Oreochromis niloticus: one gene and its partner. The protein of the gene in region 2 purifies or fractionates together with the protein of the main gene of each other region. This does not show direct contact. Links are inferred from orthologs where the notes say so. Each region holds a gene or a part of one and is shown on either strand. Other genes may lie near its edges.

Evidence for each region. Proteins that work in one complex are often made in the same cells at the same time.
Region 1: the proteins of wdr19 (region 2) and ift122 purify together in Homo sapiens (affinity purification with mass spectrometry; 4 studies listed by BioGRID and IntAct, counting the BioPlex papers as one, with this or other methods). This does not show direct contact. The link is inferred for Oreochromis niloticus from reciprocal best matches to the Homo sapiens genes WDR19 and IFT122.

Annotation. Positions count from the first base shown.
Region 1 is NC_031984.2:14,357,540-14,365,411, forward strand, and holds the start of ift122 (intraflagellar transport protein 122 homolog), read left to right. Parts: upstream 1-4,232; 5' UTR 4,233-4,344; coding exon 4,345-4,388; intron 4,389-7,574; coding exon 7,575-7,641; intron 7,642-7,739; coding exon 7,740-7,824; intron 7,825-7,872. Other genes in the region: uncharacterized protein LOC102076950, read right to left, coding at 1-12, 109-168, 274-401, 503-636, 741-750; mbd4 (methyl-CpG-binding domain protein 4), read right to left, coding at 1,355-1,429, 1,536-1,639, 1,819-1,968, 2,047-2,181, 2,291-2,356, 2,822-3,570, 3,680-3,810. UniProt on the Homo sapiens protein: As a component of the IFT complex A (IFT-A), a complex required for retrograde ciliary transport and entry into cilia of G protein-coupled receptors (GPCRs), it is required in ciliogenesis and ciliary protein trafficking.
Region 2 is NC_031971.2:22,157,330-22,165,478, forward strand, and holds the start of wdr19 (WD repeat-containing protein 19), read right to left. Parts: upstream 3,685-8,149; 5' UTR 3,539-3,684; coding exon 3,533-3,538; intron 3,436-3,532; exon of another isoform or gene 3,364-3,435; intron 2,881-3,363; exon of another isoform or gene 2,770-2,880; intron 2,324-2,769; coding exon 2,232-2,323; intron 2,136-2,231; coding exon 2,070-2,135; intron 1,955-2,069; coding exon 1,829-1,954; intron 1,630-1,828; coding exon 1,514-1,629; intron 1,412-1,513; coding exon 1,296-1,411; intron 681-1,295; coding exon 600-680; intron 416-599; coding exon 303-415; intron 201-302; coding exon 27-200; intron 1-26. UniProt on the Homo sapiens protein: As component of the IFT complex A (IFT-A), a complex required for retrograde ciliary transport and entry into cilia of G protein-coupled receptors (GPCRs), it is involved in cilia function and/or assembly.

The sequences.
Region 1 (7,872 bases), on a different chromosome or scaffold from region 2:
CGCAACTCCTTCCTATGGAGATAAAAAGAGCAGCTTTTCTTTGCCAGAAACAACTCTTGCTGTTGTTTTTCAATATAAAAAGGTCAATGCTATCCTCCACTATTTTACCTGTACTCTTCTCTCTCATTGCTGGTTCCATAGAAGGGTTTTCGCCATACCTGATGATATCTGACACAGCAGCTTTCAGTCATTGTCTTTGAAGTCAGCTCTTCAAAGAAAAGATGGAAATGGAACAAGTGATTCAGTGATAGTGAAATTATTTAGTGCACCTACCTGTAATGCTCTCTTCTCTGCATGATCAGTGTCCTCTGGTGGTTGTGTTGGTGAACATCTGGTGTCTCCAGACTGACGGTGCGTTTATGGACAAATGGTGGGTGTAAAGGGTTCAATCTGGGAATACTCTAAGGAGGATATTTATGGATCAGTTTGTTTTTTTCTTGTTGTTTTTTTTAAAACAATATATTTCTATGATAAACCACACAATTAAGAAATCTCTGCATACCTGATTGCTTTTCCAAAACTGTGCGGAGTCTGAAATTACGGGAAATTTCACGGTTGTATCCAACAGGCAGCGACCTTGCCGGACAGGAGGTGCGCGAGGAATACAGACTGGTGTGGAAGCTATGGAGATGGCTGCTGTGAGGATAAAGAAGTGAACAGAATTAAAGGAGAAACTTTTAAATAAAACCAGTAATGCTTAAAAAAAAGGACAACAAATGGAAAACAAAATCTCTCCTTACGTAGTTTCATCTTATACTTCACACTTCTATTCGCACACCAGAGGAGTCCAATGAAACTTTCAAAGCTTCCAGAGCTCTACTTTTCCTCTTAAAGGTGTAGTTGCCTTAGCATTAAATCAACATGCAACAACACATAAAAAAAAATAAATCCAAATTTAAATATACCGGATTGCTATGTGGTGCTGCCTAGAGATTATACTGACGTACCGATGTATGTGTTGAGTATCTTGCGGTGGCAACAGTTGCCTTGGGAATCAAGTTACACCCTGTCAAAAGAAAGCTACTGAATGGAGTGGTACGCATCAATGCACTCATAAAGAAAGATTAGATTGTGCCAATAGCTATATTTAGGGGGTGTCCCTGGATCTCATCTATGTAGAAAGCCTGAGGCAAGAAGGCTGAATAAACCACTCGTGGATCATTTCAACTTTTAACCAGCTTAAAACATTTTATTCAACACATAATAAAAGTTCTTAAAGGTTAGCCAGCGTAATACTGCATAATATTGAAGAAATTCAGGATTAAAATTTCAAGTCCTCCATAATGCTAATATTGTTATATTGTTGGGTAACTGCAGTTTGTGTGATAGAAGTGATTTTCTTGTTTCTGGTCCTTCAGATTCCCAGTTTCTCATGGTTCTCCCACAGCCAAGCATGGTACTTGTTTAGCTTATGATCATCAGGTTTTACCTTTGACACAAGAATCGAAAAAAGAAAAAATTAAACTTGAATTTAGAGCAAACAAATGAGGAAGCAATGGAAGCAACTGAAGTAAAATAGTTGGGATTATACCCACCTGTCTCCACTCATTGATACAGAAGATCCTGTACGAGTCGTTGCCGTACTTTCCAATACCGTGCAACTCAATAGGGTAACGCCACTGTTTAGTTAGATACTCATCTACACCAGAGAAAAGGGATTGTGAGGATTTTTTTTCTGTTTCATATATTGTTACTAAAACCATGCAAAGACTACCAAAAATGAACAATAAAATTACAATAATATATATAAATAAATGGACATTGCATGTGCACAAAGGTAGTTGCTGCTGTAATCCACTAACAGGCAAGAATATCCACCTGAGAAGCGGATGAGTGTTTTGGCTCTAAGCTCATACAGGCCAAGTGGCTTCATAAGTTCAGACATGGGCTTCCAGTCGGCCTGTCGGGTCACCTCTGCAGATGGATAACGCTCAAAGAACTGCCACAGGACTGGAATGGCCATTTTACCTGTATTAAAGAAATGCCAGGGTTCAGCAAAGCTTAATGCAACATCCTGAATAATTAAATGTGTGTGTTGAATCCTACCACTGGTTTTGTTCAGAAAAACTGTGGCTACCAGCAGCTTCCAGGGATCATGGAAAAGAGTTTCCTGTACGAGGTTGAAGGGAGACCGGGGAGGTGTCCACTTCTTGAAGGCCTTCCTCCTCGGTGGGCTAAGTCCTGAGTGTGGACAGTGCACATTTCTTTAAATTACACACTTTATTTATTTCATGAATGTTGATATACATGTCCGACGTAAAAGCATCCAGTTTCCTGCATTAAACATTACCATCTCTGCTGGATTTCCCACTGAAATAAGGACTTGTTTTCCGCTTGCCTTCCAAGCTTTTGGACTCTAAGCAGACAGGAAACATTTATGGATATTAGAAGAGTGAAGCTGCTTTACATCTTTTGGTTGGGTTCAAAGTTAAGTACCTCATAAAATGACACAACAGAGAAAATCATATATTCGCTGAGCACAAAGTGGTGGAGTCCTATGATGGCTTCATTAATGCAGTAAGATTACTCAATCAATTCTGTCCTCCCTTAGACTAATGATGTGATGCACTCTCTAACAATGGACTATTATTCTTCGCCCCCTCTTTATCAGATCTAAATGTATGCATTTTTTTTTCTATTTGGAACATTTTGTGTCAATTAAGGCATTTGGTTTCTTTGATTTTTATGTATTTCTAGCTGCAAATATAGAGGATAATGGAAGACATAAATAACCACTAATGCACTGGATAAGCTCAAATTAAACAGCTAAAAAAACATGAAAAACTTTTACAAATTGTCAGTCAGTGTGGCTCATTCTTACTATTCTGGGATTCTCGAACTGGTGTACAGCTCCCATCAGTGGTATCAGGTAACAACGCATGTTCTTCAGCATCTTGACGACTGTCATCGCCAGTCTCCAGGTCAGAATTAGGAGTGTTGTCACCTTTGCTTTCATCACCTTTTTTCTCGCTCTCAGCGGCAGGTTCAACATTCAAAATCGGGGCCGAAGGCTTCAAATCTGCTTTCTTGTCCTCTTGAAGAATAGACGTGTTTGGTTGATTACTTAAAGGAGCCAGTCTGAGTAACTTCTCTCTCAGTTGGCCTCCTCTTTGGGGGCTCTTTTGCAGTTGTACATTGTCCACTTTTTCTGCGGTCAAAGCTTGTAAACAACCATTTAAAGTTTCAGTAGTTTTGTCTCCATTCACATTCACTTCTAATACACATGCAGTCTTCTGTAGTTTAGTGTCAGCATCAATATGATTTGTGTCGTCTGCCGTCCTCACTTTTCCGCTTTTAGTATCACTTCTGAGGGAGGAAGAGGCTTGTTTGGATTTATTTGGAGGTGCCTCTAGAATTGCTGTTTCATTTTCTGTTTCCTCCTGCTGTCCCTCTAAAGGCTTTTTCTTTCCTCTCCTCTGCTTTACTTTGGGAGGGGGTGCTTGTGAAGGGGTGACAACATCATCTTTGGATGTGGTGAAATCAAAGAGGCTTATGTCTAAGTTACCACTTCCACTTTCCAGGAGGAAAGTGCGTAGGGATGCTCTGGACCGGAACCTTTGCCCTTCGGGACTTAAACAACAGGAAAATCAATTAGATGCTGATCTAAGGGCTTCTGTGGTGCACTTACAGGTAACATCTTACAGAGACAAGATTGTAAAAAAGACCAAAACTGAGTCACCTTGTAAAGTAGACATCTAGTTTGCCTGCTGTCTTGCCTGCTTTCCGCTGCCTCACTTCTCTGATCCAGCCAGGGGGCAATGCGGAAGAAGGGCACAAAATCTCCCCTTCTTTGAGACTTTGATGATTCATGTCCACACTGCTCTCCAGTTCAGTATCTTATCTAGTAGGATGCATTTTTAGTTTCTTTGGAGTCCTGTTGAAGTGAAGACAACGAATAAAAAAACCTTGGCTTTATTGTTAAACTATGAACCTGTAGTTCTTGTTTTGTTCCTGCGAGTTTACTTGGACATTTACAAAAACAACACATACAAGGCGTTTGCTCATTCTACAGTTTGCTCACATAAAGCCACATTAAAAAAAAGGATTGCTGGATATTACTGGGCAGCAGATCAAAAGCAAAGAGCTAAAACGTTAACAAAGGCGTGTGCAGCATACATGAATACTGATCAGGCTTTAGATGTGCATCTTCTTGTCTCGACGTGGCTTTACCGAGTTCTTTCTGATGTCAACACAGAAGCAGGAAGTAGCGAGCAAGTGCGAGTCTGCGCAGTGCGAGCTACTCGCTACAAGAAACGGTACAGGGTGAAAAAACAGAACCAAGCGAACTGCAGCAACCTGTTGACAAAAGAACCTTTGGTGCTTTTTTTCTGTTAAAGAGCGGAAATGAGAGCTGTCCTAGCATGGAAGGAAACGATCCGTGAGCAATGGTAGGAATCTGAGTGATTAGGTTTGCGCTGTCAGCCTCGTCCCGATGCTCAGATGTAACGCTAGGTGGTTAGCAACGGTGGTTGCTATGTAAACTAGTGTTAGCCCGCTAACTAGCTTTAGCATCGCAGCGATTCCATTATCATCAATGTGTGATCTTTTATATCGCTCTCATATTAGATGTCGTGCATTATGTATTTTCCATAAGTACAGTAGCTTATGATGGTTCTTTGGTAACCGATATAATCATAGACGTAGGATCTCTAGTTCTCATTACGGTTTATTTTGTTTGTTGTGCAGAATTGCGTGCTCCTAATAACATCTTTTTATTGAAGAGGCTTTTTAAATAAGGTATTAACTTGTTTGCCATTATTTCCCATTACATTCTTGTCAGGAATTAAGGTAGTCCTGTTTAGTCTAGCATTTAAATGATCAGACTTCCCGAAAAAACAAAAACCGAGTAGGTGTTTGGAGAGATGTTTTTGTGCTGTTTCAGAGGGAGAATGGAAGTCACAGAGTAACTCATAATACTCTAATGATACAATGCCCACTAAAATGTTTATATTGTGATCAGATCAAATCACAATACTTGATATGTTGCAGGAGTCATCTTGGATAGATGGTTGTATCTGAATAGGAAAAATATGACTCCCCAAAAAGGCAAAAGCAGGACTTGTATACTTAGCATGATAACTGCAGTTATCATACTAAGTATACAAGTCCTGCTTTGTTTGAGTGAGACAATGTGGGATACGTTAATAATGCTGAGAAGTCACTTGTAACATTTTAACAACTTTATTTGTTTTCTAATAAAAACATGCTGTAGTTTTTAATTAGATATTTCCAACTTCTTATATGCATAAATGGAAGTTAACTTTTTTGGTGGTGTGATTCAATTAATTTTGAGCCACAGATCACTCACATTTTTTACTCTGACATTAGACAAAGACGTAGTCCAGTCCATCTAAAGTTTGTGACATCTGCTGGTGTCCCTACCCCCAGTGGACCCACTAGGGATTTTTATTCATTTTATCTATAGAGGTTTTAATTTCCTGGCTCAAAACTCCATGCACGTAAGCACAATTGATCCGGATATAGTCAAGTAAAAGAGTGAACGTTTTTACCAGATGGTTTAACACAGTCTTTGAGAGTGAGAGGATGCCTGAAGAATGGAGAGGTGGTACTGATTTTTAAGAACAAGTGTACAGTAACTACAGAGGGATAAAACTCATAAGCCATACCATAGCTATGGGAAAAAGTGTTGTTGAAGGTAGCTTAAAGAGTGAGGTAATGATCAGTGAGCAGCAGTATGGCTTCATGCCACGAAAGAGCACTACAGATGGGATTTTTACTTTGAAAGTGTTGATTGGAGACGTATAGGGAATGTCAGAAAGACGTGAGCTGTGTCTTTGTGGATCTGAAGAAAGCATATGATAGGCTGCCAGGAGGGGAACTGTGGTACTGCATGAGGAAGCCAGGAGTTGCAGAGAAGTATGTGAAGGTGGTGCAATGCAGGACATGTATGAGGACAGTGTGACAGTGGCGAGTTGTGTGGTACAGATTGGTTCGAGGTGAGGGTGGGATTACATCAGGGATTGTCTTTGAGCCCCTTGTTGACAAGACAACATTGTGATAAATAGTGAGAGTGGGGAGCAGTTGGAAGAGAGCTTTGAAAGGTGGAGGCACGGACTGGAAAGAAGTATAAGAAAGACAGAACACATGTGTGTGAATGAGAGGGAGACAGGTGTAACAAGTTTTCAAGAAGCAGAAGTAGTTAAGGTGGACCAATTTAAATATCTGGGGTGAACCATCCAAAACAACAGACAGTGCACAAAAGAGGTGTAGGAGAGAGCACATGCAGGGTGGAGTGGATGGAGACGCGTGATTTTCCTTGTTGTTAGGTGTAAACATTTTTTGGATGTTTTGTGTGTGCGTGTGTGATTTTGAGCAGCTCCCACTTACTGTTTTTAAGTTTTGTTACTTACTGTTGTTAACCCATTTTCACACATAAAAGCCTAAAATTTGATTAAAAAAGGTGTTTTCAGGGGATAATTATCCACAAAGCACAACTGAGTAATATATAGTTAATGCAAAGTGTCTGAGCTACCTTATGTAACAGAATCAACAGAAATGTAAGTATTTTCCTGTTTCTGCCTAAGTTGCATAAATTAGAAAAATGTAACTTATGCTCAGCTAATGTTTCCCCACTTAAAGAAATAGTTGGAGGAATGCCAAATCTCATTTAGGGGAAAAGCCCTGAATTTGTTAATTTCAGAACATTTGGTTTGATTTGTTTGCACTTGTTTGTCCTTGCTAAAGATGTCCTCTGTTTCTTCAAACTCTGAATTTTATGGGTTGTTTTTTTTTTTGGTTTATTCGGTGTATGCAAAAGAAAAAAAAGAAAAAGTCAGTGTGCTATATTAAAGAAATTCCCTAGTTCAATACTGAGAGAAGACACTGGAGCTCCCAAGCTAGTTCACTCCTAATTCCAGTCGCAAACCCCAGATCAGGGAGGGAAGGTTGCATCAGGAAGGGCATCCAGCATAAAATCTGTGCCAAATCAAATATGCAGATCCATCCGCTGTGGTGACCACTTGGGAAATAAGGTTGCAGCTGAAAGAAAGTATTAAAGAAACATTGGACACTTGCAAATTCTCACACTTATGAAACTGGAAGCCATTATTCTCCATGCTTCACAGTGAGTGTTTTCACACCGAAACAGATTGTGTGCATCCTTGCAACCTAGCAGAACTGTTGAATGTTTTCCCTCTTCATAGGAACCTGATTTTTTTAGTGTTTTTATTTATTCTTGGTTTTTTTTCACCAGGATTCTTAACGTCTATATTTCTAATATTTCTTTCATATTTCCTAACAACATATTTACTAATTCACAGTGTTGCAGTGACATGTTTTGGCTTTATCTTCACTCATAAGTTTGTGAATTCCTCCAAAACCTTCAACAGAGTTGCAGGGTTGCAAAACCTTCCCTGTGTGCATTTTGGCACACAGCAATAACGTACTTGTAAAATCCACCTCCATGGCACTGCTAGAGGTCAAAAACTCCACAGGGAACCTCCATTATATGATTTCAGTGATGAATGGATCCTCATAGCTGTTGCTCGTGAACTAATCAATTTATTGAAAAACCATTTGAACACGGATCTGTTCTTTTGGGTTTTTTTCTGCAGCGTTTATGACCTCGCCTTCAAACCAGATGGTAGCCAACTCATAATTGCTGCAGGGCTTCGTGTCCTGGTGAGGCTTTTCTCTTTTCTTTAGCCTAAAAATGCAAACATGTAGAGAATACTTTCATCGTTCACCTCAATTTCACCTCATTTTTTTTTTTGTTCCAGGTTTACGATGCAACAGATGGCAGTATTATTCAGCCTTTAAAAGGACACAAAGACATAGTGTACTGTGTGGCTTATGCCAAAGATGGTACTAAATTGATTTTCACTACATTTTTCTGTGTCAGTCATCTTATTT
Region 2 (8,149 bases):
GTGTTTTGCTAAGCACATCTGCGTACCTGTTGTCCCCACAAGACGCAGCCTTGTTCAGTGCTGTGGAGATGGCCACGCTGTTGAGACAGTCTTTATGGTTGTGAGCCTGATAGAGCTCATATCCTATCTCCCTGATGTGTGTGGAGATGACCACAAAGTATCCATGGGAGAAACCAATGAGTATATACCCATCACCATACCTACACAGTCCAACAAAGATGGTGAGAGAACATGTTTTACTGCAAATAACTCAAGTGTGATTCAGTACCAAAGCTTGTTGTGTGTGTGAACAGATGCAATACCAGCGGTAGGACACAATGTTTCCATAGCGGCGCTCGAAGGCTAGCTCTATTGGGTTTCCAGGGTCGTTGATGTTGAAAAGCATCAGTATCTTCTTGTCCACAGAAACACTCACCTGAAGGGTAGAATAATGTGCACTTTTTCCATGACACATTTCAGACATCCTAAACCTTTGATCACCTTCATACGAACAATTTATTTGAAATTTTCTGCAAATCCCAGATCAGTCATGTTCAAACAGACCTTAAAATTCATCTCCAGCACAGGTTCAATTTGAAACTAGCAGAAAACAGACTCACTGTGCTCTCTCCTTGAGCTGACCTTTCATCCGTCTTCATCACCGAGAAGTAAATTTCAGCAGGCTCACCGCGAACCGTCGTCTGGCGAAAGATCAGAAAGTACACTCGGTCCATAAGGAATGCTGTGACAGATTTTTAGTCCAGTTCAGATTTAATTTGGCGTTTCCTGAATAGCTACTTAACATCCACCCTTCCACTGAATCCATTTCTGATATGGCTTTAACAAACAGGTCTGCTAATAGTTCTTTGGGAATCACCTTGTTGGTGCAAAAATACTATTATGTATTATTGTGCATTATGTACTATTACATTACGCCTGTCACACTGTGTTATGTTTGGCATTTTTCACAGATTCAACCAAAGAAATTATGTGTTTTTGTGACAGGGTTATAGTAACAAAATGCCTAAAGATACAACTTAAAATTGCCTGCTTGCTAAGCTGTCTGTTATGTAAAGAATCAACACTGGTTCACACTTTGAGTTAGCCTTCTTTATGCTTAAATGATCCCTTGATAACATGGCTTAACAAACAAAGCACAGACTGAAGTGAAAATGAGTGAAAAAGCAGCAAATGTCTAAAGAAAAACTCTGAAAGACCTTCAGAAAAACTGGAAAACTATTGTTAAAGAACTTTAAAAAAAATTATAAGACATGAGGGCTGGTTCAAGATTTTTGCACACTACTGTATTTGACTACCTGTCTGATGGTGTCTCCCTCATGATTGCTGATACTCAGCGTGTTGTCGTCACTCCCCAGGGCCAGCAGATTCTGGGAGCTCCAACAGCCACAGGTAATCTTCTTGCTATGTTTGCCTATCAAGTGTGGAGAGAAGGAGACAGAGAATCAATATTACAGAACAGACTAAAGACCATTAAACCATCCAAGATTATATATACAGTTTTGTTGTGTGTTACCCAGCACAGGGATCTTGCGTGAGGTCTGCTGATTGTAGATCAACAGGTTTCCTTTGACTGTTCCGACTGCCAACAGCGGGCTAGTCTTTGACCACAAGATGAAAGACATCTGATCTCTGTTTGAAACCATCAACAATGAGAACACAAAACGTTTAGCTTTACTTATTTCAAAGTTAGTGTTCTGTTGAAACAGGGAAAAAAACATATTTGCAGTGAAATTATTCAATGACTAACACTTGCATCACTTATTCAGCCAGTACAATTAACTGTAGTAGAATGATTGGGTTAAATTTTCTCCCTCTGAAATGGTCGTACCTCATACCGCTGTCTATCTGGGATGTTTTACTGACACTGGCATCCCAGAGGAAGATGGAGCTGGATTTTGCAGCTATCACTGCCAGAATGTCCCCATCCTTATCCCAGTCCATCCCCACACAGCGCCTTACAGAGAAAGAGGAGAAAGGAAGTTATTAAGAAAACCTGAACATTCAGTGGTAATCAGCCAAAACTGTTAGATGACACAAAACTGGAATCTGAGTGATTTTATCACAATTACCCTGGAAGGTTGATTTCAGTCCACTTGTGTCCATGTCGATCAAATATTTTGACTGTGTTGTCCTGTCTGTGTGATTGAAAATAAAGCTCAGTCAACAGACAATTAGTAGACTGTTACACAGCCTTCTCAGAGCTATTTTGTTAACCAAAATGACATACTCACCCTGCAACAGCGATATAATTACCAAGGCTTTTCTGCCACTTGTACAGCAAGTTAGATCCCGCCCAGGCTTTTTCAGCGAGCACAAAAACACTCTGTGGATTTAAAGATGTCCTTATTGGTTAGTTTTTTTCCCACTCTACCAATTTGCATTTGCATTACAACCTGGGCATCCCATTACACCAAACTCCATAACTGCACAAACTCAGAACATCTCAAAGATTTCTACAAATATAAGTACAAAATCTGCAACATAATACACAATATACAACCATTAGTGGCCTCTCGGGAAAAACACACACAGGTCTATTACATTTAATTCCTTATGATGCTTTTAAATTCACCAATAGATATAGCCATGTTTAAGTTTAGGTCTTTCTATAAATTACTGCACGTCTAAGGTGTACAGTAAGAAAATATTGTTTTCTGATGGTCTGTCAGAAATGTAGGCATATCAAAAACCAACGATTCACAGGAGGGTAACTGATTGTTTCCCTACATAAATCTGTTTTATTGATTAGTATCACTTCACATTTCTCACCTATTTATCCACACACCACAGTCTTGAAAGACACTTACGTATGGGGAGGATGAACATTTGGAGAGGTTCAAAGTGTTTCTCTGGCATAAGTTTTAGCAATTCAATTAATTTATTTTTTCATGTTAGCGCCCCAACCTTAGAGACATACAGTACTAAATTGATGGAGTGCCACTTCAACGTACAGTTTCATCTTATTTGCTTCTAAATACATATTAAAGCATCATCTAGAAAGCTCCTTAATCAAACTATATCCAAACGTGTCAGATAGCCAGGTGTACAACATACCCATGCACTGGATGCAACAAAATACACCTGCAGAAGTTACTTATAAAACAGAAAAGTGACAACTAACTTATTTTAACTTTGCCTAAACTCATGTCTGCATTATCATTACGAAGATTAGATCAGCAACCTAAAATATTTTAACAAAAACGCACAAAAAACGCTGTTTAAACAGACGGGTGACAAACAGGAGAAAGGTGCTATGGGTATTATTTTAGCTGTGAGTATAGAGCTTTTAGTTATCATTACTGTGACTATGTTTGCCAAACAGCCTGTTTTTTCGATTGTTGGATAATACACAACGCAACACACATTTTTAGCGGACTTTGGTCGACGTTCAGTCTGTCTTCAGCTAACACTTGGCTAACGGTTGGTTTCTAGGAGGTGAATAAACGCAGTTAGCATCCAGCTAACTGAAGCGCATGCGTGTGGAACGAATGGAATGAGTGAATGAAAATAAAATTAATTTATTGGTACAAACCTTCATCGCGATGGTGTTTAATCGCTTAAATATTGGAAAGGACAGGTATTCACTTCTCAAAGGATCTCAGACTTACAGATATGTGTATCTATTACCCACAATCCTTCACTCTGAAGCGTCTGCGGGTTGGCGCTGTCATGGCAACAGTCAGCAGCCAATGAGGTTCTGTACAGATTAGAGCGATCAACAGGTTTCAAACAAACACTGTAACAAGAAGATGTAAAAAATAAAGAGGAGGTCTCATATTTAACAGTGAGATAATGCTCTGGGCATTATCTCAGAACAGATATGTACTGGTTGCCCTTTATATTATAGCATGCAACAAACGGTGTAGATGCACTAAAATAAGAGGGAATAATTTAAGGCTTTACAGGAAAAGACAAATAATTATATTTTAAGAAATGTATAATAGTGAGTACGTCATTTTAAGTAGTGTGTAAGGTGTTCAGGCATTTTTACATGAAAGGAGACACAAATTATTCTATAAGTTATTTTAAATAGAGGATTATTTGTGAAGGTTTTCCTGTTCACAATGTAAATACGCTGTACGTCTTGATGCATGCTCAATCATCAAGGTAAGTAAATCTCCAAAAGTTGATTCTGTTCATCTGGACGTAGCATATTTAAGTAGCGTAAATATGCTGTACTTTTAGGGGCATGACAATTGTATATTGATATGCATCATGGATGTTCCACTATATAATTGTCTGCTTATATTACATGTAAAAATAAGATGAGGACTGTTCTTGCTTTCTTACCTGCCCATGTGATCTTGTAATGATGAAGTCCAAACAATAAAATCAGCGTGAGTTAATCCGGGCTCGACAAGTGAGTGGGTGTTACAGTTAAAAGTGCAATGAAAATTACAGAAGTTAAATGTTCCACTTTATCTCTTGTGAAGGATCTCCTTCACAATCAAGAATCATTGTCCAGATTCAAATTGATTTCAAAGTTTGTCGAACCAATGGACAAAGCTAAATCACCCAACATAAAGTCTCTCTGTATTTCATTTGCTCTGGGAATGAAATTAATAAATTATTTAAAAAACAGGCCAGAAAGTGAGCATTGCATATAGCATGAGAGAGAAAAGAATTAATTTCAGTTCTGACAGGAGTTTCCAATCAACTGCAATAAATGGCATGAAAAATTGTTATTATCCATTCATCCATCCATCTTCTTCTGTTTATCCGGGAGGTAGGGGGCATCAGTAGGAGCAGCAGCCTAAGCAGAGAAACCCAGACCTCCCTCTCCCCAACCACCTCCTCCAGCTTAAATGGGGGAACACCAAGGCATTCCATCCCTTTATGCAACACACAGTTTCTTCAAAACATCACAAAACATCGAATACAAATTAAACTCTCAGATCTAAAAAGCAGGTTAAGCAAAATTTGCACTTCTGTGCTTGTAAACACAAACTTGCTGCAGTCATCATAACTGCACTGACTTGGATCTCTAGAGTAAAAACGTCTTCATAGCTGGATTAACCAAACAGTAAACAGTGCTGAGTCTTAGGTGAGGATATTCACAGCATAACTGTTTAATACAGACTTGTAGCTTTAAAAAGAAAATGTCAGTACCGCCACAAACTAATACCACCGGCCAGTTTTCACCTTTTCCAAGCAGCATTATTGTGAGGAGTATCAAGCACATCTGAAGTTAACTGAAACCGTGCTTTCACCACAGATCCAGCAGGTGGCAGCTTTTCATAGTTTTTCTTTAAAGAGCATTAGTCTTTCTATTCTCCAGGCATGCCAATCTACATATCTTTGTCCCATTTCATTTCTGCTGTCCTCTGGGTGTTCACTGATGTCCTTTTTAGGAAGTAAACCAATTTCAGTGCTTTACAGAATGACCCATCCGAAATAAGTTAGGAGAAACCTCTGCCTCCCTTGTGTTATTTAATTTTGTCCATAGTCCGAGAGAAAACGCTGATGACCTTCTGTACGTTGTCATGTGCTGATGGAAGGATGATCCGCGTACAACCCAGGCAGGGAGCTGGGATGAAATGCCAGCTGTGTGACACAAATATTCCTCTCTGTGCTCTGGCATGCCGAAGCAGAATACACCCTGCTGACTCAGATCTCATTAAGATGCACTGAAGGGAGCAGCTGTATGATTTTCAAGCAAAATGGTAAAATTAGAGCAGAGAGAGATGAAAAAAAGAACTGATGAAAAATGAATGAAAAGCGTTTTGGCCAACGAGACAATGCGAGCAGAGCTTTTTTGCAGGATGTGGTGCATTAATAGAAAGAAAAAAGGAACTGCTGCACTTTACAAAATATAAAGAAAGCAGGTCTATATGACATAGTGAAAGCTGACAGATAATCACTGAAAATGACTTCCTTTATTTCCTTTATTATGTGAACTATTTCAGCTTTCCATCGTTGCAGCTGCAGACGAAATGAGATTCTCATAGTATTTTTTTCTGCTCCTTCCTCCTTATTCTCTCACAAAATCCCAAATGAATATGTTTCTGCCCTCCAGGAATCATGCAAGTTTTATGTAGGTGTTACAAGTTGTCCTGAAAAGATACTTTGAAATATCTTTATGTTCTTTTTCAGGGTTTTTTTTCTCTCATTTAAAAAAAATCTGATCCTGGAGGTTTTTGTCAGTCCTGTGGGGTTTTTTTTTCTCCACACTTTCTAGGCATTCAGTGTCTAGCAGAGCACAGGAGCCTTGCAGGAGAGCAGTTCCTTAAATATTCTGTTTTTGGCAGGTTAATTGGTACTGAACCTCGGGCTGCCCCTGCAGGACAATCCTATTTTGCAGAAGGAGCAACATTCTTTTCTTGTTTGCTGTAATATGCATTTATTAATACTGATAAAAGATAAAAGGCATTATTACGGCACTACATCCAATCATGCTACACACAATCTTGAAACTGAGAATCAGTCCTAGACTATACAGTGAGCCCTTATCAAGACCACACAACCAGAATACAGAGCAATCCAAACACAACACATGCAAGATGGAGTCGCCCTGTGTGTGTTGGATACTAGGAGGCAGTATTGGCAGTAGACAGATCCGCGTCAGTAACCACTGAGATTCTCCTCAGGAGCTTTTCATTTTAGTGCATCTCATAATCTTCAGCTGATGATTTTTCTCGCCCCAGTGATCACGGATATGAAAACAGTCAAATTTCAACCTGTGGTGTTTTAAAAGCTCCAAACGCGACAACTGTGACAAAACTGTCACAGTGACATTGACTTGTAAACATCTATGATGAATTTTCAGTCTGCAAATGAATATTCTGATAGTGTTAACACGACAAACTGCACTCATATACTTTCTTTCTCAAAGCTGTGATTAAAACGCAGGCAAAACAAACGCGTGTAAAAATTTACACGTCGAGTTTGCCGCAAAGTGATGACAGCGTTTGTGGATGAGGGATTGCACGAGTGCCAGCACCGTGATGACACCATCAGTAATGAACGCACCTTTTCCCATTTGTTTTCCCCAAAATGACGAGGAAATGAGGTTGAAAATTTGTTCTTAATTCACAGTATCTGTCATTTTCTTCTGTTTGTTCCAGCTCTTTATTGAAGCCGTATAGTGTTTTTACTGGGCGCCACATAAAGGATTTTATACACACTCAAGCCAGTGAGTCTCCAGAAACTTTAGGGTCTTTACTAGAATTAAAAATAGTTTTGTGGGCCTCATAAGTGCTTGACTGCACAGCATGTCTGCTTTATTCTGCTGCTGCGTTGATGCAGATGTTGACAGATGCAGGTGTTTACAGGTTATTTCCAAGTGTAGGATGCAGAATGAAGCAGACCACTTTGTGTCTCCCTCTTACTGCTGTCAGGGGGAATAGACTCAGGTGCGGTTAAGGCGGCAAGACAAGGTCACCAGCATCATCTCTGAACGCCACCGGGAGTCGTTTGTCAGAAGCACTTATGATTTAAAGCTTCCTCTGCAATAAATATCAGAGTGAATCACTTGGCTACTGGTCACTGTCCTGAGGCTAAAATATCTATAAACTGCCTGCATTCCTCCTCCCGGCACACTTGTTCCACTCTGCCTCGAACAGCTGTGGCGTCTCTGGTTCGGTGTTTAGCTTTTACATTTGAGGAGCTGCACTTAAGACTAATGAGGATCCATATTAACCTCCAGGCACATGAAAATAAATTCGGAATTGCACTTCAGCAGCCAAAAACCTGCACAGAAACCTTTGAACTGCAAAGGGCCTTGGCTGGAGTCGCACCGATGGGGGTGCTGTTAGAGATAAGAGCCAAATTTACACCACAGTGGCATTTACTGTGAATGTGACAAACGCAAACTGCCAGCTGCAACATCTGTAGCATAAACATGATTAGCTGTTGCTGTTAAAACGCCTCTGTCGAGCAGGGAAAAAGCCACGGGAAGTGGTAAATCACATCTTGACTTTAATGTATAAAAGACCAATGATAGCTACAGCAGCATATATTGTACATACATAATGTATTTTGTAAAAGACGAGCAGCTGTGCAGTTTCCCACCGACCGCTTTTATTACATCGCTTCATCATCTGAATTCATGTTACAAAAAACAAAACACAATAACACACAGCATATTCAGTGGGAAGTGTATAATATAGACACCGTAATGCAGTAAGACTACATACAGACTTTATATTTA